Saccharomyces cerevisiae S288C: one gene and its partners. The gene in region 4 interacts genetically with the main gene of each other region. Each region holds a gene or a part of one and is shown on either strand. Other genes may lie near its edges. The genes, in order: MEC3, RMI1, RAD17 and CSM3.

Evidence for each region.
Region 1: mutations in CSM3 (region 4) and MEC3 together harm fitness more than expected from each alone (negative genetic interaction), as found in Saccharomyces cerevisiae (7 studies listed by BioGRID, with this or other methods).
Region 2: mutations in CSM3 (region 4) and RMI1 together harm fitness more than expected from each alone (negative genetic interaction), as found in Saccharomyces cerevisiae (5 studies listed by BioGRID, with this or other methods).
Region 3: mutations in CSM3 (region 4) and RAD17 together harm fitness more than expected from each alone (negative genetic interaction), as found in Saccharomyces cerevisiae (6 studies listed by BioGRID, with this or other methods).

The regions. Positions count from the first base shown.
Region 1 is NC_001144.5:710,406-718,810, forward strand, and holds MEC3 (Mec3p), read right to left. Parts: upstream 4,500-8,405; coding exon 3,075-4,499; downstream 1-3,074. Other genes in the region: YLR287C (uncharacterized protein), read right to left, coding at 586-1,653; 40S ribosomal protein eS30 RPS30A, read right to left, coding at 2,132-2,320, 2,751-2,753; GTPase GUF1, read left to right, coding at 4,684-6,621; ubiquinone biosynthesis protein COQ11, read right to left, coding at 6,740-7,573; GCD7 (translation initiation factor eIF2B subunit beta), read right to left, coding at 7,912-8,405. UniProt on the Saccharomyces cerevisiae protein: Component of the checkpoint clamp complex involved in the surveillance mechanism that allows the DNA repair pathways to act to restore the integrity of the DNA prior to DNA synthesis or separation of the replicated chromosomes.
Region 2 is NC_001148.4:498,091-505,563, forward strand, and holds RMI1 (Rmi1p), read left to right. Parts: upstream 1-5,426; coding exon 5,427-6,152; downstream 6,153-7,473. Other genes in the region: ERG10 (acetyl-CoA C-acetyltransferase), read left to right, coding at 6-1,202; SMA1 (Sma1p), read left to right, coding at 1,575-2,312; putative serine/threonine protein kinase SKS1, read right to left, coding at 2,585-4,093; methylenetetrahydrofolate reductase (NAD(P)H) MET12, read right to left, coding at 6,249-7,473. UniProt on the Saccharomyces cerevisiae protein: Structure-specific DNA-binding protein with a preference for cruciform structures. Also binds single-stranded DNA (ssDNA). Functions together with SGS1 and TOP3 to maintain genome integrity. Essential for proper meiotic cell division.
Region 3 is NC_001147.6:1,022,527-1,030,772, reverse strand, and holds RAD17 (Rad17p), read right to left. Parts: upstream 3,931-8,246; coding exon 2,725-3,930; downstream 1-2,724. Other genes in the region: GTPase-activating protein MRS6, read left to right, coding at 1-1,590; 40S ribosomal protein eS12 RPS12, read left to right, coding at 2,148-2,579; SCP1 (Scp1p), read right to left, coding at 4,164-4,766; YOR365C (putative flavin adenine dinucleotide transporter), read left to right, coding at 5,201-7,312; oleate-activated transcription factor PIP2, read left to right, coding at 7,561-8,246. UniProt on the Saccharomyces cerevisiae protein: Component of the checkpoint clamp complex involved in the surveillance mechanism that allows the DNA repair pathways to act to restore the integrity of the DNA prior to DNA synthesis or separation of the replicated chromosomes.
Region 4 is NC_001145.3:365,160-368,434, reverse strand, and holds CSM3 (Csm3p), read right to left. Parts: upstream 1,455-3,275; coding exon 501-1,454; downstream 1-500. Other genes in the region: ribosome biogenesis protein ERB1, read left to right, coding at 1-341; FG-nucleoporin NUP116, read left to right, coding at 1,730-3,275. UniProt on the Saccharomyces cerevisiae protein: Forms a fork protection complex (FPC) with TOF1 which is required for chromosome segregation during meiosis and DNA damage repair. FPC coordinates leading and lagging strand synthesis and moves with the replication fork.

The DNA of each region.
Region 1 (8,405 bases), on a different chromosome or scaffold from region 4:
CGTTTTTCCTCCATCCAAGGACCTAATACCTGCATCTTTTTATATCTTTGACCAATGCCTATGAAGCCAAATACTTCCGTCCATATTAGTTTTTTTTTGTTCCTTGAATCCTGCACCGAACCATCGAGGGGCTTAGTTCTTACACCAATGCTAATGTTTACTCAACATCTGAAACACATAAACAAATAAACAAACACCAAACATTGCACGTTAGAAACTCATATTTACTCGCACATATCTGTTAAGGCGAGGCTGGTTATTTTTTCAAGGGACCAGCATTTCCAATTTTTCACCAGCGGCAAAGAAAAATACCAACAAGCAGGAATCACACCCACGCATCTCATTTTGCGTTACTATGACAACTACAAAATTTGAATTTGTTAACGAGAATGACGTATATAAGTTCGATTTTGTTGAGGATATCCCACATATTCCCACCAACCAACCACTATATTAATGGACATGGTTTTTGCCGTGACCGTGGATCTCGCAGCTACACAATGATATCTCTTGTATCCGTTTTAGCATGAATTTCTAAACAAGACTGATTATATACCATGCACTGTAACATTCAGAGAAAATATACTAAAACAATTCATTGAATTTTATCTCCCATGTGTCAATCCATTTCTTTCTTTTTGGATCACCTTCATATAGTTTACTCATTTGGATAAGAACTTTTTTAGTTACTGCAACTAATGCAGCCTGTTCTTCTTTTACCTCCTCATTGGTAAAGTTCTTCGGCTCAAATTGTACAGTGGATACCACTTCATCCAAAAGTAACTGTATTTCCTTCAGATATGTATGTATACTGTCTAAAGTTTCTGCTTGATTCCTCTTAGGAGTAAAATCTTTTGACACCAGAGTTTTCCTGAAAGTTGATACAAGTAATTTGATTAGCTTTATCTTCCTCGTAAACCCATCGAAAAACAACTTTATATTTTCATAGACCTTTTCCTGGTCAAATTCCTCTTTCTGTGAATCAGATTCGGATTCTGAATCCTCAAAATCCAAAAATATATCGTCCGAGTTTGCTGAAAAATCGGGTTCCTCAAGCCACTCTTTTATTTCATTCATTGTATCGTCCATTATGGCCACATTATCTTTTAAGATGTTTGCTAGGATCCCATAAGGTCCAGCCTTGGAACAATTAGAGAGAGAATCGCACGCATTGAATATTTTACCAACTGAGGTTAACCTTTCTTTGTCTAGAGATGCATTTTCGTCATTTTTCAATCTTTCTTGTAATTCGGCAATGAAATCTCTCAAGCCATCGAGCAATTGTAGCGTACTTTCATCCAGTTGGTCTGTAAAGTATTTGGGGCAATCCTTGTTATTGTAAAACAAAGGGAATAAACTTAGTAAGTAGAATAATGGCCTACTAAAATTTTGGATTTCGGTAATCACAACTTTATGATTGTTATCAAAAGTTCCTGGCTTGCAAACAATACCTATTTTTGTGCAATGTGCCTTCAATACAGAGGCTAATTTGTCTAGTTCCTTAGTTGGGGTGGAACCTTGTAGTTTGGTAGTAGAGGAGATTTTACGCAAGTCTTCCGGCTTTTTGTATGGCACTAAAAACTGTTCATCTATAGAATTCAGCAGTTCCAATAATTTGACGTCATCCTTTCTATCACTGCTTCCAGTAGACATTATTGTATAACTGGTATTTCTCTTATAAAGTTTATAATAGGCGTCTCTGGTGATGCTTGTTGACCTCAATGGATTTTGTTAAAAGGAGGCTTCATGTCATCGTCAAGATCATTGCAGTTTTTTTCTAGTTTTTTTTTTTTCATTGCCACATTATGAAGCGCCCATTCAAAAACAACTAGAAAAACGTTTGCCAACCCTAGGTACGGCAAGATCCTCCTTATTAATAAAAGCATCACACCAAGACAGCAAAGAAGTAAATCGATAATATGAATAGCATAATTTTGCGAAGTTAAAGTCCTAAAGAAATAATTTATAGTTAACACTACTTACATAATTTCAATACTGCTTTATATTTAAAGTAAAAAACGCATAACGGAAATACAAATACAAGTCAAAAACTATCTTGAAGTAAAGATGGCATGACTGCTATTTTGTTTCTTGTTACTTTTAAGCTCCTTTTCCACAACTGTTAATTTTCTTATTGGACGGATGGACCTGGGTTCATTCTTCTCTTACCGTTAACCAAGGTAACGTTAACGAATCTTCTGGTGTACAATAATCTTTTGTAAGCACGACCCTTAGGCTTCTTTGGCTTTTCGGTTTTTTCAACCTTTGGTGTTTGAGACTTGACTTTACCAGCACGAGCTAGAGAACCATGAACTTTAGCCTAAATAAATAATATTAATATTAAAAATTAATGACCATGTTAGTATAGTGAATTTTTGAATTATTTGGCGTATCAGCAAGGATGCTAAAAATAAACTTCACTCTGCTATTTTCTCAAAGCCTTTTTAACTCTCCGTCAAAAAATGTTGTTATTAAACTCGACATTATGTTAAGTCCACGCTGTTGCCCTCGAAAAATCTGTGTCAAGCAATTACGTTTTTGATGTAACAGAACTCAAATTTAAAAAGTTTCCTATCATATTCTCAGGGTGGAGCCAGTTTAAAGATATATTGCGTTTTATTTCTTTTTCTGCGGTATATATAGATATGAAACACCAGTAATATATTCAAATTAGCTATTTCTTGTTATTCATTCCTCGCTGAAACGTCCATTTTTTTCATATTTTAAAATCCTAATGAGGCATTACGTACCATATTTGCGTAGTTTTTGTATGGGGATATGGAAGATTATTACAGTGGCAAATTTAATGTGCAGTTCATGTAGCCTTTAAAATGCAACATACCGTTCGTAAGGCTGTTTTGTTCTATCTATTTTTTCTGAGGTTTCCGACAACCTCACGACATTTTTTTTTTTCGAACGGAAAAAAGAAAAGCAGTTAGTATGTAAAGCACGGATTTTTTTATACATATGTACGGATGTGATAGTCTGCAACTCTGCAACTCTGCAGTTCTCAGCCATGTCAGATTTAAAGAGTTTCCTTAGCAACGTAGCAAAGAAATGTACCGCTGTAGGGTTTACAAGCCCTTCGATCTTGCTATATAATATATGATTTGTCCTCTTTCCCTTGGTTTTTCCACATCTTCGCTATCTTCCAAGCTACCACGATCCAACGAACAGTGGAATACGCAGGATTCGTCGTGAGAAATCGCCAAAACAACTTCTTCAAATGCAGCGTATAACTTGGAACACACCTTCCAATCTTTGCAACGGATGATTACTTCATGTGTGGACGAACTTTCCTGTTCAGCCTTTTCCACCATAACGGATATGTCATTAAATTCAGTATCACCGCTAGTATCAGCTGTGTAAATGTTTCCCCGCGTATCTGCGATCGAGCTATCCTCAATTCTTAATAAATCTTCATCGTAGCGGATATTTTCTTCCATCTCTCGATCTCTAGTATTGGTATATAGTGAAGACATCGGTTTATCCGCTTCGATAATCGGAAGAGATCCTTCCTCCTGCCGGCCGTCTGTGTCGATGTGCTGGTTTTGGGAAGGATTGTCAGTGAGCCCTTCTTGGCGTTGTATCACAGAGTCTAAGGGTCCATTCCAGCATATTTCCAAATGCCAATCTAATTCATTCACAATTATCTTAAGTTCTACATCATCACCTTCATTTCCATGCTCCTTTTTTTTGACTCCCATTAAATGAATGTGGTTGACATTACTGTACCGTTCAACACGTCTAATAAACCCGTGGAAGGCGGAGCCAAACTCGCCCGATATTGGTGGCAGCTTGTACATCATCAGTTGAATATAGTTAATCATTGGCTCTTGTATTCGCGTATCTTGTGCTCGGAATAATAGTTTGACAGGTACTTTGAACGAATGCATGATAACCTTATTGCTTGCGAGTAGATTTCCTGTGCCTACTGTGGTTGGTAAACCATTGTGCTCATCCACTCCCCCATTCATAACTATAGCGTCATTTGGGCCGCTAGTATGTACAATTTCTTCGAATGTTATACCTAGAGCACAAATGGGGTTCGGTTTTGAGGTTGTATCTACGCCTCCTGCTGTTCCTCCTGAAAGTGTTCCGTTATTTGTATTCCATTCTGGCATTGACTGTAGTTTTATAGTCATATTAGAGGAAGATCCTTGGTTCATTACTCGATCATACCTTTTAAACACACTCAATAAAGAATCACAATTACACTCCATTGTTATTGTATTGAGCTCGCGAGCTGATATAACTGTATATAATCTGAATACATCATGAGGAATGGTACACCAAAGCTGACCAGTATCCCCTCGTAATATTGTACCGTTGTTACTGCTGTTGAGTGATGATTTTGGAGTGGATATTATTGTCAATCTTTCACTATTAAATCTTAAGATAGCCGTCTTTCGTAGCGAAGCAACTGTATTGATAGTAGTTCTTAGCAATTTATAATCATCAGGTGCTTCACAACCATTTACTATCAATTTTAATTTCATTTAACTGAATTAAGACACACCTTTTGTCTTCTTTTTTCTCTCATCATCTCCGTATGTTTATGTTGCTATTTTGATGTAAATAAAAAAGTTGAATAATAGACGAGGGCAAGTATAACTCGCCTATATTTGTAGCCGCAACCATTGAAAAAGAGCCATGAATATGGGAAACTAGTTGCACATAAAAATGCTGAAATTTAGAATTAGGCCAGTGAGACATATACGGTGTTATAAACGACACGCATATTTCTTACGATATAACCATACGACTACCCCTGCACAGAAGTTACAAGCACAGATCGAGCAAATACCTCTCGAAAATTACAGAAATTTCTCTATAGTTGCCCATGTTGACCATGGGAAGTCAACCTTAAGTGACAGACTGCTGGAAATAACGCATGTCATCGATCCCAATGCGAGAAATAAACAAGTTTTGGATAAATTGGAAGTCGAAAGAGAAAGAGGTATTACTATAAAGGCGCAAACATGTTCGATGTTTTATAAAGATAAGAGGACCGGAAAAAACTATCTTTTACATTTAATTGACACGCCAGGACATGTGGACTTCAGAGGTGAAGTTTCACGGTCATATGCGTCTTGTGGGGGAGCAATTCTTTTGGTTGATGCATCACAAGGCATACAAGCACAGACGGTTGCTAATTTTTATTTAGCCTTCAGTTTAGGATTGAAATTAATTCCAGTAATAAACAAAATTGATCTAAATTTTACAGATGTTAAACAGGTAAAGGATCAGATAGTGAATAACTTTGAGCTCCCCGAGGAAGATATAATCGGAGTAAGTGCTAAAACAGGATTAAATGTAGAGGAACTGTTACTACCGGCTATAATTGATCGTATACCACCACCAACGGGGAGGCCTGATAAACCCTTCAGAGCATTATTAGTGGATTCTTGGTACGACGCATACTTAGGAGCGGTTCTTCTAGTGAATATTGTTGATGGTTCTGTACGTAAAAATGACAAGGTTATTTGTGCTCAGACAAAAGAAAAATACGAAGTCAAAGATATTGGAATCATGTATCCTGACAGAACCTCTACAGGTACGCTAAAGACAGGACAGGTTGGCTATCTAGTGCTGGGAATGAAGGATTCTAAAGAAGCAAAAATTGGAGATACTATAATGCATTTAAGTAAAGTAAATGAAACGGAAGTACTTCCCGGATTTGAAGAACAAAAACCCATGGTATTTGTGGGTGCTTTCCCGGCTGATGGGATTGAATTCAAAGCCATGGATGATGATATGAGTAGACTTGTCCTCAACGATAGGTCAGTTACTTTGGAACGTGAGACCTCCAATGCTTTGGGTCAAGGTTGGAGATTGGGCTTTTTAGGATCTTTACATGCATCTGTTTTTCGTGAACGACTAGAAAAAGAGTATGGTTCGAAATTGATCATTACTCAACCCACAGTTCCTTATTTGGTGGAGTTTACCGATGGTAAGAAAAAGCTTATAACAAATCCGGATGAGTTTCCAGACGGAGCAACAAAGAGGGTGAACGTTGCTGCTTTCCATGAACCGTTTATAGAGGCAGTTATGACATTGCCCCAGGAATATTTAGGTAGTGTCATACGCTTATGCGATAGTAATAGAGGAGAACAAATTGATATAACATACCTAAACACCAATGGACAAGTGATGTTAAAATATTACCTTCCGCTATCGCATCTAGTTGATGACTTTTTTGGTAAATTAAAATCGGTGTCCAGAGGATTTGCCTCTTTAGATTATGAGGATGCTGGCTATAGAATTTCTGATGTTGTAAAACTGCAACTCTTGGTTAATGGAAATGCGATTGATGCCTTGTCAAGAGTACTTCATAAATCGGAAGTAGAGAGAGTGGGTAGAGAATGGGTGAAGAAGTTTAAAGAGTATGTTAAATCACAATTATATGAGGTCGTTATACAGGCCCGAGCTAATAACAAGATAATAGCTAGAGAAACAATTAAGGCAAGAAGAAAAGATGTTCTCCAAAAGCTGCATGCTTCTGATGTCTCACGAAGGAAAAAACTTTTGGCGAAACAGAAAGAGGGTAAAAAGCATATGAAAACTGTAGGTAATATTCAAATCAACCAAGAGGCATATCAGGCTTTTTTGCGCCGTTAGCATTGCATATTATTGTTATTACCATTTTAAAATTATACCAAGCTGTATATAGTTAAGTACTTTTCATTTGTAAATAAAAGAGAAAAATAGATTAATAAATATAATAATGGCATAATCATTATGCTTTAAGTATTTCCTCAAGTGTAACTACCCCTTTAAAATCTGGGTTTTCGATATTTTTCAGGACGGATTTGCTTACCTGCTGAGTGGATACTGTTGGCCTAATCAAGTCGTTCAAAAGCTGCAGCTTATTTCTCAATAGAAATTTGTTACCGCAGTAAAGTAGTTCAAGTGCAGTATGAATAAAAGACCGTGGTCCAATTGCATTTCTGTGCTCATCGAACATAAAACCGGGTCTCACAATAATAGGCCTGAAATATCTCTGCATTTTTTCTAGTTCAATCTCCGCCTCTCTTTTCGAATTAATATAGCCACTAGGAATCAATGGGAAACCTTTATCGGCGGAAATATACGTAAAAGATCTTTGATTTGCTTTTTCTTGCTCCTTTTTGCTTTTCTTTAGGATTTTTTGTTTAAATGTATCTGCCAAAATAATAGCACTTTGCTTATTCATCATTTCATAAGTAAAATAAGGACTGCTTTTTTTTAAAGGATTTGGACCTGCACCAAAAGATAGAAGGCGTGATTTTGAATCATATGTAGGGGATTTGGATAGAGTTTGCTTATAATTTTCATTTTCTAGGAGGATTCCCAAAGAATGAACTACGTTAGTAGCATTATTCAATAATTCATGGTAAGAATCAGGCTTAAAAATGTCAGCAGCGGTCCATTGGACCTCCTGCATCCATTGCTTATCATTTAATTCATTGCTATGAGGAGCTTTACCGGACCTTGACACAGAAACGACTTGGTAGCCCGAAGTCACTGCTTCTTGACAAATTCTTTTACCTAAAAATCCATTGCCTCCAAAAACTATAAGCTTTGGTATCATTTTCTACTTCAGTTCAAGCTTTAGCTGTATTTTTGTATACGATACATATTTCCCTTATTTTTTTATTTTTTCAATGTTTTCCTGTTTTTCTATTATGCAAAAGCGACAAGATGGCATTACGAGGAGACACTCAACTAAAAAAAAAAAATGAGTCAAATTGCCAGACTTTGTAGAGAAGTAAAAAGTTAATGCTAAGATGCTCTTTATGTATTAGTCTTTTAACATATTCAAGGATACGTAAATATTCTGATTATATACTAATAATTAATAATAAAAAAATTGTTTTGATCTACAAGATTTTTATTTATTTTCATGAGTAATGTACAAAAGACACATCATCACGCCTTATTTTTATCCAAATGCACATCAATTTGCTTGTAATTATCCCACGCAATACGATATATAAAACTTGGATTGAACCCACCGACGTTTGTAATGTAGATATCAATATTTTCAGGCGGAACATAATCGGTAATTTGATTAACTGTATCTAATCTTTTTCTTGGATCCATTCTAGGTAATATACGTTGGGACCCACCAAATTCGACAAACTTCTCTACGTCGAACGGATATAGAGGAGAAAGCTTATACAAACCTGCAACAGCAAATACAGGGGTTCTAAATTCTCGGGCGCATTCACAAACGGATGATACACCTGAATTTGACGAGATAGTCCCCCCATTGACAAAAACGGCTTTAGTGCCGATAATAACCTTACCCACACGGGACATTAAAGCAAAAACAGCTGAGTCTGGGACTACTAGGGTTTCTATGTTGTGCTGTGCTAATTTTTTGGCAAACTCATGTGCATTCTTGGTGTTATTAGGGAACC
Region 2 (7,473 bases), on a different chromosome or scaffold from region 4:
TCAAAATGTCTCAGAACGTTTACATTGTATCGACTGCCAGAACCCCAATTGGTTCATTCCAGGGTTCTCTATCCTCCAAGACAGCAGTGGAATTGGGTGCTGTTGCTTTAAAAGGCGCCTTGGCTAAGGTTCCAGAATTGGATGCATCCAAGGATTTTGACGAAATTATTTTTGGTAACGTTCTTTCTGCCAATTTGGGCCAAGCTCCGGCCAGACAAGTTGCTTTGGCTGCCGGTTTGAGTAATCATATCGTTGCAAGCACAGTTAACAAGGTCTGTGCATCCGCTATGAAGGCAATCATTTTGGGTGCTCAATCCATCAAATGTGGTAATGCTGATGTTGTCGTAGCTGGTGGTTGTGAATCTATGACTAACGCACCATACTACATGCCAGCAGCCCGTGCGGGTGCCAAATTTGGCCAAACTGTTCTTGTTGATGGTGTCGAAAGAGATGGGTTGAACGATGCGTACGATGGTCTAGCCATGGGTGTACACGCAGAAAAGTGTGCCCGTGATTGGGATATTACTAGAGAACAACAAGACAATTTTGCCATCGAATCCTACCAAAAATCTCAAAAATCTCAAAAGGAAGGTAAATTCGACAATGAAATTGTACCTGTTACCATTAAGGGATTTAGAGGTAAGCCTGATACTCAAGTCACGAAGGACGAGGAACCTGCTAGATTACACGTTGAAAAATTGAGATCTGCAAGGACTGTTTTCCAAAAAGAAAACGGTACTGTTACTGCCGCTAACGCTTCTCCAATCAACGATGGTGCTGCAGCCGTCATCTTGGTTTCCGAAAAAGTTTTGAAGGAAAAGAATTTGAAGCCTTTGGCTATTATCAAAGGTTGGGGTGAGGCCGCTCATCAACCAGCTGATTTTACATGGGCTCCATCTCTTGCAGTTCCAAAGGCTTTGAAACATGCTGGCATCGAAGACATCAATTCTGTTGATTACTTTGAATTCAATGAAGCCTTTTCGGTTGTCGGTTTGGTGAACACTAAGATTTTGAAGCTAGACCCATCTAAGGTTAATGTATATGGTGGTGCTGTTGCTCTAGGTCACCCATTGGGTTGTTCTGGTGCTAGAGTGGTTGTTACACTGCTATCCATCTTACAGCAAGAAGGAGGTAAGATCGGTGTTGCCGCCATTTGTAATGGTGGTGGTGGTGCTTCCTCTATTGTCATTGAAAAGATATGATTACGTTCTGCGATTTTCTCATGATCTTTTTCATAAAATACATAAATATATAAATGGCTTTATGTATAACAGGCATAATTTAAAGTTTTATTTGCGATTCATCGTTTTTCAGGTACTCAAACGCTGAGGTGTGCCTTTTGACTTACTTTTCCGCCTTGGCAAGCTGGCCGGGTGATACTTGCACAAGTTCCACTAATTACTGACATTTGTGGTATTAACTCGTTTGACTGCTCTACAATTGTAGGATGTTAATCAATGTCTTGGCTGCCTTCATTCTCTTCAGGCTCTATTAATTTTAACCGTTATAAGTTCCTTTTCTCCCTTGGAAGCAAACATCAACTGCCTTAAAATCTGGTGGCGAGGAAAGAGGAAATGGCATGTACTAATGATGGTCCTAATAAATATCCCGAAATTGTGAGTGTTAAGCACCTGTTCCAACATTCGGGATCCAAGCATGAATTTAGTGCTGGTAAACGATTTTCAAAATCCATTGGTAAAATATTCAAACGAAACTCTGCTTTGAAAACTTCTAGAACTGAAACGGCAAATCATAAAATGGAATTGAAAAAAAGAGAGGGTGTTACCTTATTGCCACCTGTCCCAGAATCATTATTACATAAACTCAATTCTTGGTTGGAAACTTTTTCTTCCACCAAGAACATGAAAATCGAAGAAAACAAAATTGTTATTAATGAAAAAGAGATTCGGGATTCAGTCTCTTACTACCCTGATAAGAATGGAGGAAGTGCTGTATTTTGTTACTTGCCCGACCTTGTGCTATATTATAAGCCGCCTATAAAAGTCACAGGCAAGCAATGTCCAATAAAGAGAAGTCCTTGGGAATCGATGGAAATCCAATATCAAAAGTTTATGTACCCCTTAGAAAGGTTGGAAAGACAGTTTGAGGAAGTTCCATTTAGGCCCTGGTATTTTGCAATGCGATTAAAGGAACTTTACAGATGCTGTGAAAGGTCTTTTACTAACGCGGCAAATAGAGGAAAGGCAAGGTTATTGCGGGGGAAGCAAAGGACGAAAAAATCGTATCATAAGACTGTCAACCTGGTATCAGCGAAGATTTCCACCCATTCAAATGCGCCGTCGCCGGGCTGAGAAACAAAAAAAGTGACTAAGTTCTGTCATTCTATCATTATTGTAATTAGTTATGTAGGACATATATATCCATAGTGATCTCCTTTTGATCAAAGAAGACACTGAAAAGTCGTAAGTTCGTAAAAAAAGTATGAAAATCGTTCCAGCCATTGCTTATAGCCATCCTAGTAGGATACTAGAAAAAAAACAAACCTCAAAGATAAAAAGAAAAGGTGAAGCTATTACCGAATTAGAACATAAGATAATACAGTGAGTATAAAGGTGAGACCTGCTCAATAATCTGGTAACCATTTCTCGTTTGGACCGTCTGTTAAAGTAGAAAAATTCATTTGTAAGCATAATAGCCTATTTCTTAATGTATCTTGTTGGAATTTGCAATCTTTGGAAGCACTAACGTCATCGATATCAGATTGGTAAGGTGTACTGTCCATTGAGGAAGTTAAAAAGGTACTATTATTGTGGTTGTTAGTGTATTCATACTTTTCCATACTTCCGTCACTATTATACGTTGATGGAATATCACTCTCCGGTTCAGCATCTTCCTCTTCTTGCTGCTGTTGTGCTTGTTCCTGGTTTTGTATTTGTTCTTGTTTTTGTTCCTGTTCTTGTTCTTGGACTTGCTGTTGTTGTTGTTGCTGTTGTTGTTGTTGTTCTTGGTCTGCAGAAAAATGTGATAAATCGCTCAAAAATAGGTTTTCATTCCTTATAATATGCGTCATGTAAACTTCGCTCGATAGGATTGGAACTTGAGACAAGGGCCCTTCCCTGGTGAAAGAAGTAAGAGAGGAAACTTCGGACATCAAAGTTTTCATGTCTATTCTTGTGTATGGATTTAGTTGTAGAATTTTCGTCAACACTGTGAACAGCTCATCTGATATAGGAAGGATTTTCTTCAGGACATTATTATCGTTAGCAAAATGTTGAAATGTGTTATCCTCCTTCTGGTGAGCTTTTAACCATGGGTTTCTTATGCAAGTTAAATTAATTAGGATGATGCCTAGAGACCATATATCTCCTGTATCCGTAGGGAGGCTCGAACAGCATTCGTCGACGTGTATGCCGTTGGTGGTGGTATTCAAACAATACAATATTCTTTCTGGAGCCATATAATATGAACTGCCAACGCACACATTTGGAGCTAGATATTTAGATTTAGTGGAAAGCCCGAAATCGCAAAGATAAGCGTTGTCATTGCGATCCAGTAGGACATTTTCAGGTTTGATATCACAATGATATATACCGAGACGATGACAGTGATCTAATGCGGAGCAAAGCTGCAGAAAAACTTTCTTAATCAAAATACCATGATTTACAAAATGCTTATCGTCAACTATCGAGGTGAAAAGGTCCCTGTCGTAATAATCCATCACTATAAAAGTGGCAATAGAAGATTCTAAAACTTGGTGAATCTTCACGATATTGCCGTGAGACTGCACTCTTAGTTGGAAGGCAATCTCCCTGTAGTGTGGTAGCCTATTTAGTTCATTCTCAGTCAACTGTAATATCGAGTCTAGATCAACGGAAGGTAAGAACAATTTTTTTTGGAAACTTTTGAAAAAATGATACAGTTGCGTTTGCAGAAGAGTGGTTCGCGCCACTTGAGAGTTGTTGTTCAAACCGTTCTTATTATAAAACTCATCCATCGAGGAGGATTTGAAGACCGTTTTCACTGCATATTCACGGCTCGTCAGTATATCCACCACATGGAACACTAGTCCATACGCACCCGACCCTATTTGAGCCGTTATTCTGAAATTGTTCAGCAAGCAGTCTGACAGCATTTGTACACAAAATTTCTTGTCTGTGTTCTTATTTGATGTTTTCTTTTAAAGAGTTTTGTTTCCGCTAGGGCGATTTAAGTCAATAAGTAAATTTAACAATTTACTAAATATATTTTGTATAATATATAAGAATATACGCCTTAAGAATGTCCTCTCATGCGAAAAAGGTAGCAAGAGCATAAAAAGGAAAAAGAAAACGCTATAGTCATTTGTAGGCTCTTGTCTTTCTTCGTCTTCGTCCCGTGAGTGCGGACTCAGAAAACACCGCAATGATGTGGGTCCGGAATATCTATTGCACAGTTTTAGTAGGGTCACCGATATCGTTAAGGTTTGTGGTAGGAACAGAAGGTACTGCCGGCCCTGTATACTGCCCTTTTGTTCCGACCATTTCTTTTTTGCATTTGTCCCAAGATTCTCTCTCCCCACAAAATCTGCTCAAGTATCTGTCCAACGCGCTTTCTTCGGCTGATAGATAAGTTCCGATTTCGTGGGAAGCAAAAAAAAAAAAAAAAAGAAAAAAAGAGTCTGTCCGAGAAATGTCCCGGAAAACGTGGGTGTGCGGTGAGGAGATTGTACTTCCATCCCACATTCCTCGTGTTTGATTGGCTGCAAGCCACTTGATGCCTAGAAAAGAAACACCGCGTGGTGCATCTATGTCCATATCACGCGCGCTAAAACAGCATGTAGAGAGCGCGAGGGCGGCGTACTGCACCATTCTAATAGGAAATCCGGGATGAATGCCCTCTCCGGAAATACCTCCACTAAGCCTCAATGGAAAGTTGTTCCGCTCACGCGAACAGGTTTTTCCGGGGAGTCGAGAACTACAGTGACGTAAATACGACGACATCGCTAGAGCCAGCAGAAGCCTCCATACATTCAGACTAATTAGTTGACGGGCTTGAGCCAACTAGACATATTATGTAGGCACATATGCTCCAACCAATACATATGTGTACATAGAGTACAGCTCTTCCCAGCGCATCCGCTATCGTCCTCTTGACAGGTCCGGCTATTTATTATCCGCGGCATCCGCGGCCCAGCGCACAATAATAGATTACTTTGCAATGCAAGCGGTCTTGGCTGTTTGCTCTGAGGGTCCATCTTCGTTTATTTCTTTATTTACTAAATTAATTATGATACTGCACTCAGGACGGGCCAAGAAAGCATGTAGCGTGAAGAGAAACTAATTATTAAGAAAAAAGAAAAAAAAAAAAAAAAAAAAAAAGAAAAGGAAAAAGGAAAAAGATAAACCAATCATACAATCTTTACAGAAAGGGAGTACTGAGAAGAAGGCCAAAATACTGCAGAGCATACATACTACCGAGTGGATGGAATGTCTTTTTCATCTATCTTATCACAGGATATCACAGATGACATTACACCACCAGCGTATTCCGCCACCTTGGGGTCGAGAGAACAGATTGTTTTCAGAGCTTACCAAAATGAACCTTGGTTGGCTGGTACTGCTTCGAATCTTATCTTAGATAAAAAACTTGTTATTGTAGACAGAGAACTGTTGTTCCAGGTGTTGATGGTAGAGAATATCACCAAATCCAAGCTAACACAGATCGATGATATAAAAACCAAGCTGGATCCGAAAAAACAGAAAGTGGATAGACTACGATCAGGCGCGCAAGGAAATGGCGCTAAGAAGTACGAGGTCATCACTCAAGTGGACATGGAAGATGACGGGAATGTGGCGGATAACAACTGCGCCAAGGAAAATAATAGCAACAATAATAGCAGTGCCGCCAAGAATAAAGCAGTGTTTAAATTGACACTACAAAGTAAGTCGGGCGACGTTTTTTTTGCTATCAACTCGACTCCAATATCTTGGAGCTCTTGCATGCTGGGTTCTAAAATTGTGATACTGCCGGGAACTGTGTTCAATAGGGGCGTTTTCATATTGAAGGACTCACAAGTCATTTTTCTCGGCGGCATTAATAGAGTTTGGAATGAAAATAGAGATCAGAAATTTTGTGATTATTTGGAATCTAAATTACAACGTGACAAACAACTTGTAAATGGCGGCTCCAAGAAAAGGAAAGCCAATGATTAGCATATGCCTCTTCTTCTTAGAAGGGCGTTCTGCCCGTTATGTATACGTTAAATATTACATTATTTTCGCATTTTTGTATTTATATTCAGTGAAATATTAGGCTTGGTCGAGTAACATTTCCCATAGCTCGTCGGTTTCTTTGAAGTCGTGATGAACAATTGAGACAAGACAGTAGTCTTTATGCACTAGTCTTAGAAGAATATTGGCTGGGGTGTTCCTTGGAAATAACTTGGCCCACTCGGACCAGATACTAAACGCTTCATCTCTCCATGCCTTGAATGACTCTTCTTCAATGATTGTAGTCTGTTTGACCGGACTGTTGGGAAAAACACCCCATGTTACAACGCTAGAGCTGTGCGGGTCTAGGTTCGTTTCAAATGAACCAGATGAATCGCCCGCGTAATAACTGAATTTCCGACGCCCGTAATGGTCTAGCTTGGGTTTCAAAGTTGTTTCCCATTGCTGTCTATGAATAAACATTTCTACGAATGCCTTCTGATACAACCTCCCTTTCGCGGGCCCCCAGCCGAATATTTTATCACTACTCAATGTAGCATTTGTGGCAGGTTGCGATGCCAAAGTCAAATATCCGCGATAGTTTAGTTGGATTAGTTCTTCTTGTATTAACGCCGTTTCAGCTGATAAACCCAGGTCAGACCAGGGAATCGCATCCGTTGAACCTTCCAAATATTTTATAAAAATATCTTTTAAATCGCCAATTGTCTTTGGTATACCCCATAGTTCAAGCGCTTTGCTTTTGCTTACCTTGATGGATGGCCCATAACCGTCTATTTCACCATATGCGGGAGACCTGGAGTCACCAAATCTACCATTGGGGAACTCATCCCAAGTGGCATCACGACCCAAAGTTCCGTGACCTTTAGAAATAGATATTAAAGCCTTTTTAGATGGCATGGAACCATTCTCATTATTATAGCGTAAGCCTTTTTCAGTGACGATAGCCCTATTGAAAATCAACTTGGCCGAATCAAGACTTGAATGCCTTCTCCTTTTCCGGTTTGCTACAGTTTCTTCATTCGAATCATCCAACACAATATCCCCGTCAGCATCTTCTATTGGCACATTTTCTATGCTTCCTATTTCGCCACTGGTTTCATCTTCTCCCTCTTCTTCGCTAGATTCATTTACGATATGGGATAAGACGGGAGATTGCGAGACAATTTGAGCAATAGCCTTTTCCAAATTTAATGTATAGAAATGAAACCCTTTAATTCTACCAGATGTTCTTTGATATATTTCCTGAATCAATTCGATAAGAATGTCCACACCAATGGACTTCACGGCATTATCATCCGATTGG
Region 3 (8,246 bases), on a different chromosome or scaffold from region 4:
ATTGATAAGAATGATTATTACGGTGACACTTCAGCCACACTAACTGTAGACCAAATCAAAAGATGGGTAAATGAAGTTAATGAAGGCTCAGTAAGTTGCTATAAAAATGCGAAGTTGTATGTATCCACGCTAATCGGTAGTGGTAAATATTCTTCAAGAGATTTCGGTATTGATCTTTCCCCGAAGATCCTATTTGCAAAATCTGATTTATTATCCATCTTAATCAAATCAAGAGTTCACCAGTATTTAGAATTCCAATCTTTATCTAATTTCCATACTTATGAAAATGATTGTTTCGAAAAACTAACAAATACAAAGCAAGAAATATTCACGGATCAAAACCTACCACTAATGACAAAGAGGAACTTAATGAAATTTATCAAATTCGTACTCAACTGGGAAGCACAAACGGAAATATGGCAACCCTACGCGGAGAGGACCATGTCTGATTTTTTAGGGGAAAAGTTTAAATTAGAAAAACCACAAGTCTTCGAATTAATCTTCTCAATTGGGTTATGTTATGATCTCAACGTAAAAGTACCAGAAGCTTTACAAAGGATTCGTCGATATCTAACTAGTTTCGATGTTTATGGACCATTCCCTGCACTATGCTCCAAGTATGGTGGGCCAGGAGAATTGTCGCAAGGGTTTTGTAGATCTGCCGCTGTAGGTGGCGCTACTTACAAACTCAATGAGAAATTGGTATCCTTCAACCCTACAACTAAAGTGGCCACATTCCAAGATGGATCCAAAGTTGAAGTTTCAGAGAAAGTGATAATATCGCCTACGCAAGCACCTAAAGACAGTAAGCATGTCCCTCAACAACAGTACCAGGTTCATCGTTTGACCTGTATAGTTGAAAACCCCTGTACTGAATGGTTCAATGAGGGTGAATCGGCCGCCATGGTAGTCTTCCCTCCTGGCTCTTTGAAATCTGGTAATAAGGAAGTAGTACAAGCCTTTATTCTCGGTGCTGGCAGCGAAATTTGTCCAGAAGGAACTATTGTATGGTATTTATCGACCACAGAACAAGGCCCACGTGCTGAAATGGACATTGATGCCGCTCTAGAAGCTATGGAAATGGCCCTGCTAAGGGAATCGTCTTCAGGTTTAGAGAACGACGAAGAAATTGTTCAACTAACGGGAAATGGTCATACAATAGTAAATTCAGTTAAGTTAGGCCAATCTTTTAAGGAGTATGTTCCTAGGGAAAGATTACAGTTCTTATTTAAACTTTATTATACCCAATACACATCCACGCCACCCTTTGGTGTAGTTAACTCCTCCTTCTTTGATGTAAATCAAGATTTGGAAAAAAAGTATATTCCCGGTGCGAGTGATAATGGCGTCATATATACAACCATGCCTTCTGCTGAGATATCGTATGATGAAGTAGTCACCGCAGCCAAAGTTTTATACGAAAAGATAGTTGGCAGTGATGATGACTTCTTCGATTTAGATTTTGAAGATGAGGATGAAATACAGGCTAGCGGCGTTGCTAATGCGGAACAATTTGAAAATGCCATAGACGATGACGACGATGTCAATATGGAAGGTTCCGGTGAATTTGTAGGTGAAATGGAGATATGACGAGCAAGACATATTCTATTTAGTATTTTTTTCCCTTCAGGAAACGGTGATTAATGTCTTCTTACAAGTTAATGAATAGTATATATATGTAAAAAAAAATTCTGCTTCATGTATATACGCACCTCGTTATTGAGGTATTGCGAATGTAGCAGTTGAATAAGCAAAGACGAGGTTTGTACATCTTGGCATATTAAATGGTTATTTCGGGGTTTGTTTCGGCTCAACGGTGATATAAAAAGAAATCCAGTACTGTTTACCATTGTGCATCCGTACATTTGATTTGTTTACAACATCTTCACATTTCCATTGTGGAATCATTTTATTTTTTTCAGAATACCTTACCCGCAAGCAAACTTTCAAGCAAACTTACAATTTGCAAAATTTCATCGAATTCTCCGCAGGACATATTATAAAAGTTATGTCATCTCTTATCACAACAGGTCTATAAGTGTTCCTTGTTCAATTGTTTTTCCCAATTCAAAACTCTTCACGGAGCAGTTTAATTATCTTACTGTCGAAGAAGTCAAAAACTAGACTATATATTATTGAGAAGAAAAATGTCTGACGTTGAAGAAGTCGTTGAAGTTCAAGAAGAAACTGTTGTTGAACAAACTGCCGAAGTTACTATCGAAGATGCTTTGAAGGTTGTTTTGAGAACCGCTTTGGTTCACGATGGTCTAGCTAGAGGTTTGAGAGAATCTACCAAGGCTTTAACCAGAGGTGAAGCTTTATTGGTTGTTTTGGTCAGCTCTGTTACTGAAGCTAACATTATCAAGTTGGTTGAAGGTTTGGCTAACGACCCAGAAAACAAGGTTCCATTGATCAAGGTTGCTGATGCTAAGCAATTAGGTGAATGGGCTGGTTTGGGTAAGATCGACCGTGAAGGTAACGCCAGAAAGGTTGTCGGTGCCTCCGTTGTTGTTGTCAAGAACTGGGGTGCTGAAACTGATGAATTGTCCATGATCATGGAACACTTCTCCCAACAATAAACGGTGTGATGTTCATTAGTACTTTTTCTAGAGTTAGATCACATAATAATATATAGTTAAACTTTTATTTAATTGTAAGTTATATGTTATAAAATTACCAAATGCTGAATGAAGTTCTGCGTTTTCTGCGATGCTGGATATTGACTTAAAAAAATATAGGAATATCCTTTGTTGGATACTTGCAGTGATTCTCTTCATCCTCACTTTCCCTGTTTTTATTGTTTTCTTCTTCAGATGGTAGTTTAATTTTTTTCCCATTCAATTGCAGCAAGTTGTCATTTGAAGTTTCATTGCCTTTATCTGTACCATATCTTTTTCTTATAGTTGATTTTTTAAAACTATTACGATTGCCAAGTTCATTAGTCTCCATCAGGAGTTCTATTTCTGTCTGTGCTGCCTCATCTATGGATTCTTTTTCTAGCATGCAAACCTCAATTACTATACCGGGATAATCCTTGGGTAGCTGCAGTTGGCGAATACTACCTGGTCGATTATTTGAAGGTCTTGTAGTATCAGTGATAATGACATCGTCTGTTTGACTTAGAATATTTACACTCAATACGCCATGAACATCCATCCTGAAAAGGACTTTGCTTGCAATTTTAGTACTCTTTCTGATTTTATCAAACGAGGTGAAATCGAAGAACCCAATTACAGCAAAACCATCTATTACTGTTGTGGAATCTCCGTCAAATACTTGTAACTTCTCTAGTATGGATCTGTTACTGGGTAATTTTATTTTAGAAAATCCTAGCTGAGATTTAGATATCAGGGCAAATACATTCTCATCATTCGCCTCGGTCTTTGCATATACATAGCACTCTTTGCATCCGATTTCTTTTAGATCCTTTAAGGCTGAATGAAGGGCTTCGCCCTTAATAATTGCCTCAAAGCTTATCCTTTCTCTATCGAGTTCTAGTCCATTAGTATCAAAATCCTTAATTAAGTAGGTAGAGTACTCCACTCTCTCAGAAATGAACGAGTCTTCAAATATTAGTACAAATGGTGATCCATGTCCATCATAAGATAAAGTACACTCAACAATGTCATCCGAATTCCTGTTCATCACGCTAACGCTATCTAAGATATGATTTATTTTTACACAAAGTTTCATGTGATCCTCAGTTTCATTTCTATACGAATAAGACATAAATAGCTCCCGAGATAACAGTAGTTGGATTTTTATCACATGATTATTCTCCCTGACAAATGACAGCCCATCAGCATCAATGAATATAAGCACATCGTCTTTAGAACCAAAAGGTGTTAAACAACTTAAAGCAGTTGTGATATGTTCTAAGTGCACCGTTGAGGCAGAAAACTTGTTCGCTAGCTCACTGTTGATTCGCATAGTTGAAATCCTTCAACTACTTTGTTTCCACACCGTTCTGTGAGATTGATTTGTATAATCACATTTTTACCGGTAACGTTAACTTTTGTTACGCGTCTCTAGCCACCTTAGTGTTTATGTAGGAAAACTTTGATGGAAAACTAAAATATATCAAAGGAACTTTGGTTGCGTATATAGGGTTCTTAAATGTTTATTTATCAATTTCTGCCAGAGAAAGTGTTAATAATAATTCTCTAAACTATATCTCTCCGTTGTCCTAACACCACTCCTTCAGTAGCCTGAGATGCACCTTTCATATAACCGTATTCAAAAGTGCTCCATCCAGTACCATCTTGTAGATGTTTTGGTTTAGACTTAACCGGGGGTCTTGGCTTCTTTGTTGACAGTTGTGGTCCTAGAACTGGAAATCTATCTGTATGTTTTTTGTTGGCGTAACGAGATAGTGACTTCAACGTTTGGAAAACAATGGCAGGATCCTTTTTCTCAAAAAGATCAATTGTCTGAAACAGTTCATCTTCAGGCACACCATATTTTCTCGAAAATGATAAAAATTGGGAAATTTGATCCATTTGAACAAATGGCATTTTAGAGCTCTTCCAACTAATATGGTTAGCTTCTCCTGTGTCTGCTTCATATAAAATATTTGCCAGCTTACATAGGACTGTTCCATCTTTCAAGCATTCCAATAAGTCTCCAGGAGGAGCTATCTCTTTTAGGACAGATTTATATACCCATATTTTGATATTTTGAATTGCTTCCGGTGAAAATTTGCTTTCTCTTAGTTGTCTCAAATCTTCATCTAAGGATGTGACATCTGCCTTCTTATCGTAACTCATCGGTAAACTTTAGCTGTACGCTTACAAAGAAGTCATTTACTTAGACACTACTTATATCTTAGCTTTACTATTTGCGTTTATACTCCTTTTGGAACTCCACGGATGTCCAATTACACGTGATGAATGGGTGTTCAGCATATGTTACAACTATAATGCATGACATGATGAATATGTAGTGGTAATCCATGCTGTATTTTGTTATTACTGTAGCATGGTATTGATGCATTTTTAATTTTTATAATGCTGCTATGGAGCGATCCATATCGACGACAGCTTTAGTTCATGGCGGTCCATTTATATTTTTGTGCCCGAATTACTGACACATTTAAAAAATGATGCAGTGTCAATATTTTGGAAGGATGATGAAGCAAAGTCGTAATGCTATTTTAAATAATATTTAACCTCTCTGATTTATAGATGTAAAGAGAATAAGTATGCTTCCCATTAAAGTCTTCTCTTTATCTCGGATTTTTGTTTTGCTAGCAATCTTCCGACAAATACACGCTATTTCCATTAACAGCTCTACTTTCCAGGTTTCTAACTCTTTTACACTACTGAACAACGCATCGACTCTATTCCCAGTACCATTTGATGCATATACTAAAGAATATCTAAGGACTTCGGCTCTGTTGACTTGTGCTAAAGACTCACAGTTTTCTGCATCGTATTTCGAAGCTGCTTTTTTCCCGAGAAATAATACTCTATTCTTTAATGTTGAAGCACAAACAATTATGAGCGAAAACATAACCATCAAGGCAGAATTGATTGCATATGGTCTCAATGTTTATACCAAAGTTTTTGATCTATGTGGAATCCAAGATAATTTATTATGTCCGTTGAAGCCGGGAAATATAGAACTCATGGGAAGTTATTATGTTGAGGCCGCGGTAGCTAGCCAAATACCAAGCATAACATATAATATACCTGACTTAGACGCATATATTGTGGTGACAGCATACTCCACTATTGATAAAGAATTTACCAAACCTCTAGCATGTGTACAAGTGATGTTATCAAATGGTAGAACAGTCCAAACAGAGTATTTATCGTGGAATCTAGTGATATTGACAATTTCCGGAATTATGTTTTCAGTGGTTTATTCTTTGCAAGGTTATACGGTTACTTCAACAAGACTGGCGTCTTATTCAATATCGCTACTTTTATATTTCCAAAATTTGGCTATTTTAGCTATGATTAGTGTATCATTTTTACCGCCTATTGTCGCCGCTTGGACTCAAAATTTCCAATGGTCAATGGGAATAATAAGGATAAATTTTATGCAGCGGTTATTTGACTGGTATGTTGTCGCAACATCTGGGTCCCCCACCGTTGTATACCGCAATAAAGAAGTTTTATCGATCAGTGTTCAAAAAAGATCCTTGAACAGTAAAATCATATCAGCGTCAAGTAATTTAAATGGTATTGAAAGTTCCCAAAAAAATGATTTATTATACACTTCAAATTTGAGAAATTCAAATGACTATCTGTCAAAAATTTTAGTATTAAGAGGTATTAAAAGGGTGTCTTACAAAGCTGGAATTGAGATATCAAATTTCTTTTTAACGGGATTTTCCTTCTTTATCATATTCATTTGTATGATAATATTGGCGTTTATTATCTTCAAAACATTTTTGAAAGTACTTCAGAAGTTTAAAGTTAAGACAATTAGATATTTACACTTCCACACACATTGGAGTGCACTTTTACAGGGGACACTATATCGAGCGGTGTTCATAATTTATTCTGAGATATCTCTTTTAGCACTTTGGGAGTTCACTCAAACAGACTCAGCAGCTACCTTAGTGGAGGCAATCGTTGTTTTCATTTTGATTACAGTCTTGTTATCATCCGCAAGCGTAAGAATATGGAGGAAGATGATCAAGTCTAAGAAAATATTTGGCCAGCCAAGCTATTTACTCTTCAGTAGCTCGAAATTCTTAAACAAGTTCGGCTTTCTTTCCTCTCAATTTAAGTCTACAAAAGTCTGGTGGTTAATGGCGACCTCTGCACACATGCTTATTAGGTCTATACTAGTGGGTTCTCTACAAGCGCACGGAAAATCTCAATCTATTGGTATCTTTTTGAATGAAGCTATCTATCTCATCCTTTTGTGCTGGATGCAACCTTACATGGATAAAACAACCAACTTCTTCAATATTAGTATCCATTCACTGAATTTAGTGAACGCATTTTTTTTCTTATTTTTCAGTAACTTATTTCAGCAGCCCATAGCTGTGTCTTCTTTTATGGGACTAATTTTCTTTTTTCTAAATGCAGCGTTTTCTTTGTATCTCTTCATTTTCATATTGATATGCTTTACGATGGCAATATACTACAAACACCCTGATACAAGATACAAACCTATTGATGATCAAAGACGATCCTTTTTGAAGGGTGAAATGGATGATGATGCGGTTTACGAATCGGTCCCGGAACTGCACGAAATGAAGAAAGCCGTTCTTGAATGCAACGGTATTCAAAAGCCGCAGATCAATAAGATTGACCTTTGTAAACAAAATTCGAACTGTGAATATCTGTATATGTGAATAAATAAAATCGTGACTAATACGTCCGGTAGGATTTGCCTTCCTGCAAAATTTCTTCTGATTTTGGAATTTGAAAGGTTGTAAGACCATCTCGGAACTAAATATAATCTCCGGAGTATCTCCAACGAAGAAAACATAAAGCGTTGTTAGGACTTAATAGAGGTCAGATAAAGAAAATCTACTGAAACGTATAGAGCGGATGAAATATCACTTTCTGATCTTGCTGAACAAAATTTCTTCGATAAAAGATGTACTTTACAGACGAATCATCACCGGCAATGAATAGAGTAGGTAAAAAAAGGAATAGACTTTCTTTTGTTTGCCAAGCTTGTAGAAAAGCAAAGACGAAGTGTGACCAGGAAAAACCTAGATGTGGCAGATGTACTAAACAAAACCTCTTTTGTATATATGATGTCGCCAGACAGGCGGCCCCTAGGAATCCGAATAAGGATGCCACCATAGCGAGACTGAAAAAGGAGATTCGTTACTGGAGAAATAAAACCGTGGATTTGACTCAAGAAAAGAAAGACTTCTACACTGCATTGAAAAGGCCGACTGAAGAATTAGCTGCTAGAAGGACATGTAAAAGCTTGCAGGAAAATAGCTTTCCAATAAGTCTTTATAAGACTCATCCCAGATTGATTATGACCAAAGTGATGAAAAGAGAAATCAACCCTTTATCTGAGAAGTACTTAATATTTCAAGATACCTTTCTGAAGACATTAATTGCCTCCGTGCTTCTAAGTTGTTCCAGAAACTCCATGATTCCTGCTTTAAATGCAGATATTAGTAGGTCGAGGACACAGCCATGCGTAAAGAATAACGTTGTAAAAATGAGAGAGGTTCTATTGAAAAACTCAAAATACGAATCACAAAGAAAATCCATTAACGAGTTTACGGACAGGCTACTACAGAGAAAGAACCCTGAAGAACA
Region 4 (3,275 bases):
TAATTGCGTCATCGTTTGACAAGAGAGTTTTATGGCACGACCTGGATTTGGCTAGCACACCTTACAAGACACTAAGATATCATGAAAAAGCCGTCAGAAGTGTGAATTTCCACAAAAAGTTACCTCTATTCAGCTCTGCCGCTGATGACGGTACCATACATGTTTTCCATGCCACTGTTTATGATGACATGATGAAAAATCCGATGATTGTGCCACTAAAGAAACTAACCGGTCATAAAGTAATCAATAGTCTGGGTGTTCTTGATGCTATTTGGCATCCGAGGGAAGCTTGGCTGTTTTCTGCCGGTGCTGATAATACGGCTCGCTTATGGACCACCTAGATAAATAATTTGAAGTAGATATTGTATAATAACGCCCAAGAAGAAAAAATCAAACACTCGAACCAGGCTCTTTCTACAAGCTTTATTTACACAATATATATAAACCTATATGTATAGATGCCCACACGCACGTTTGGATTATTACCTTCAATGACATTGCTAAAAGCCCATTTCCTTCATAGCATCCAACTCATCTTGATCTACGCCAAACTCATCTCCCCCTGGCAATAAATCATAATGAGTATGTTGTCCCTCTATATCATTCATTTCCCACTCTTCCAAACTTTGAATCAGTTGAACGTCTTCTTCAGTCATAGAGCCTTTTTCCATTTTTCTATGCGCATCTAGCCATCCTAATAAGAGCTTCTTCTCATTTTCTTCAAGGCCAACGGGCCCTTGTACCCTGAATGTCTTCAATAATGCATCCAAATCTTCCTTAGGCGGCACAACGTTGTTAAGTACCGTTTCATTATTCCCACGTTCGTCCAAAACTCGTCCTCTTCTGTTGCGATAAGAAAGGTGATAGATATCGTCATCTTCGTCATTATCGTAATCGACATTGTTTACATTCCTTTTGTCTTGCGCAAAACTATCTGCGACAATAGGCCTCTCTTCCGCGGAAGTGACATGTTCTTCAACCATAGGTGATTGTCTTTCCAGGTCTTGCCCAGTCTCCCGTGTGCCAACATCGAAACTCATGCCCATCTCGTCCCTAAAAAGGCTGACTCTATATTCTCTAAGAACTGGATCTGTTTTACCTACTGTTTGACAGATCTTCATAAAATCCTTAAATTTTGCCTTGGGAAACAATTCATGTGCCCAAAGCTGGTAAAACTGAATAATATTTGATAAGTTGTCATATGAGTTTTTTTTTGAGGAAATTCGTATCCTTTTATGTGCATTTTTCAAAACATATGGTAAACCTTTATCACTGAGTAGTTTTTCGGCTGTTAATTTTACTTGAGGCCTTCTCTTTCTAGCTGTAATTGCGGTTGGATCCGCAATGGTAGGATCAACTACTGAACCATCCAAGCCATTTGGTACAGTTGGGTCTTTTTGGACACTATCGGAGTCATTGAAACCTAGTAATAAACTGTCAAAATCTTGATCCATGACCTCAATAAAAGTTTCTGTTCACGTTTTCATGGCATTTTAATCCAGTATATCATTGATCTTGTTACGCGTCAGTTTATTATTGTCACTTTTGCAGATTATCATTACCCGGCATTTTTCCTTACCATGCTCATTAGAAAAAGAACAAAACTAAATTATACTTAGAGTTAATAAAGTGTCATAAGGTCGCAAAGGAAACTATCAGCATTGCATAGAGATCCCGGCAACTGAGAGGCACCATTCAGCTTCGAAGATTTCTTTTTTAAAACATTATTATGTTTGGAGTTAGCCGTGGCGCATTCCCCAGCGCAACAACACAGCCATTTGGCTCAACAGGATCAACCTTTGGTGGCCAACAGCAACAACAACAACCAGTAGCAAACACTTCTGCTTTCGGCCTCAGTCAGCAAACAAATACAACACAAGCACCTGCGTTTGGTAACTTTGGTAACCAAACTTCTAATTCTCCCTTCGGAATGTCAGGCTCGACTACAGCAAATGGTACTCCTTTTGGTCAAAGTCAATTGACGAACAACAATGCCTCTGGCTCGATCTTCGGTGGAATGGGTAATAACACAGCACTTTCTGCTGGTTCCGCTTCTGTTGTGCCCAATTCTACTGCAGGTACAAGCATTAAACCTTTTACTACATTCGAAGAGAAGGATCCAACCACAGGTGTCATCAACGTCTTCCAAAGTATCACCTGTATGCCTGAATACAGAAATTTTTCTTTTGAAGAATTGAGATTTCAAGATTACCAAGCTGGTAGAAAATTCGGTACCAGTCAAAATGGCACTGGTACTACTTTTAACAATCCTCAAGGAACTACCAATACTGGATTTGGAATTATGGGTAATAATAACTCCACTACTTCTGCTACAACAGGAGGATTATTTGGTCAAAAGCCAGCAACAGGCATGTTTGGAACCGGAACTGGAAGTGGTGGTGGCTTTGGCTCTGGAGCGACCAACTCTACAGGATTGTTTGGAAGCTCTACTAACCTCTCAGGAAATTCTGCATTTGGAGCAAATAAACCTGCCACTTCCGGGGGATTGTTTGGTAATACAACTAACAACCCAACAAACGGCACTAATAATACAGGCCTTTTCGGCCAGCAGAACTCAAATACAAACGGAGGATTATTTGGTCAACAGCAAAATTCATTTGGGGCGAATAATGTCAGTAACGGGGGAGCCTTTGGTCAGGTGAATCGTGGTGCCTTTCCCCAACAACAAACACAACAAGGTAGTGGTGGTATATTTGGTCAATCAAACGCTAACGCAAATGGTGGCGCTTTCGGCCAACAGCAAGGCACTGGTGCTCTTTTTGGAGCTAAACCTGCTTCTGGTGGACTATTTGGACAATCTGCTGGTTCAAAAGCATTCGGAATGAATACCAACCCCACTGGTACCACTGGTGGCTTATTTGGGCAAACCAATCAGCAGCAAAGTGGAGGAGGGTTATTTGGCCAGCAACAAAATTCCAACGCTGGAGGATTGTTCGGTCAGAATAACCAAAGCCAGAACCAATCCGGATTATTTGGACAACAAAACTCCTCAAACGCATTTGGCCAGCCACAGCAACAAGGCGGATTATTTGGAAGCAAACCTGCAGGAGGACTGTTTGGACAACAGCAGGGAGCATCCACTTTTGCGTCTGGTAATGCCCAAAATAATTCTATATTTGGGCAAAATAACCAACAACAGCAATCAACCGGGGGATTATTCGGACAACAAAACAACCAGTCGCAGTCCCAACCTGGTGGATTGTTTGGCCAGACCAATCAAAATAATAATCAGCCATTTGGCCAAAATGGGTTAC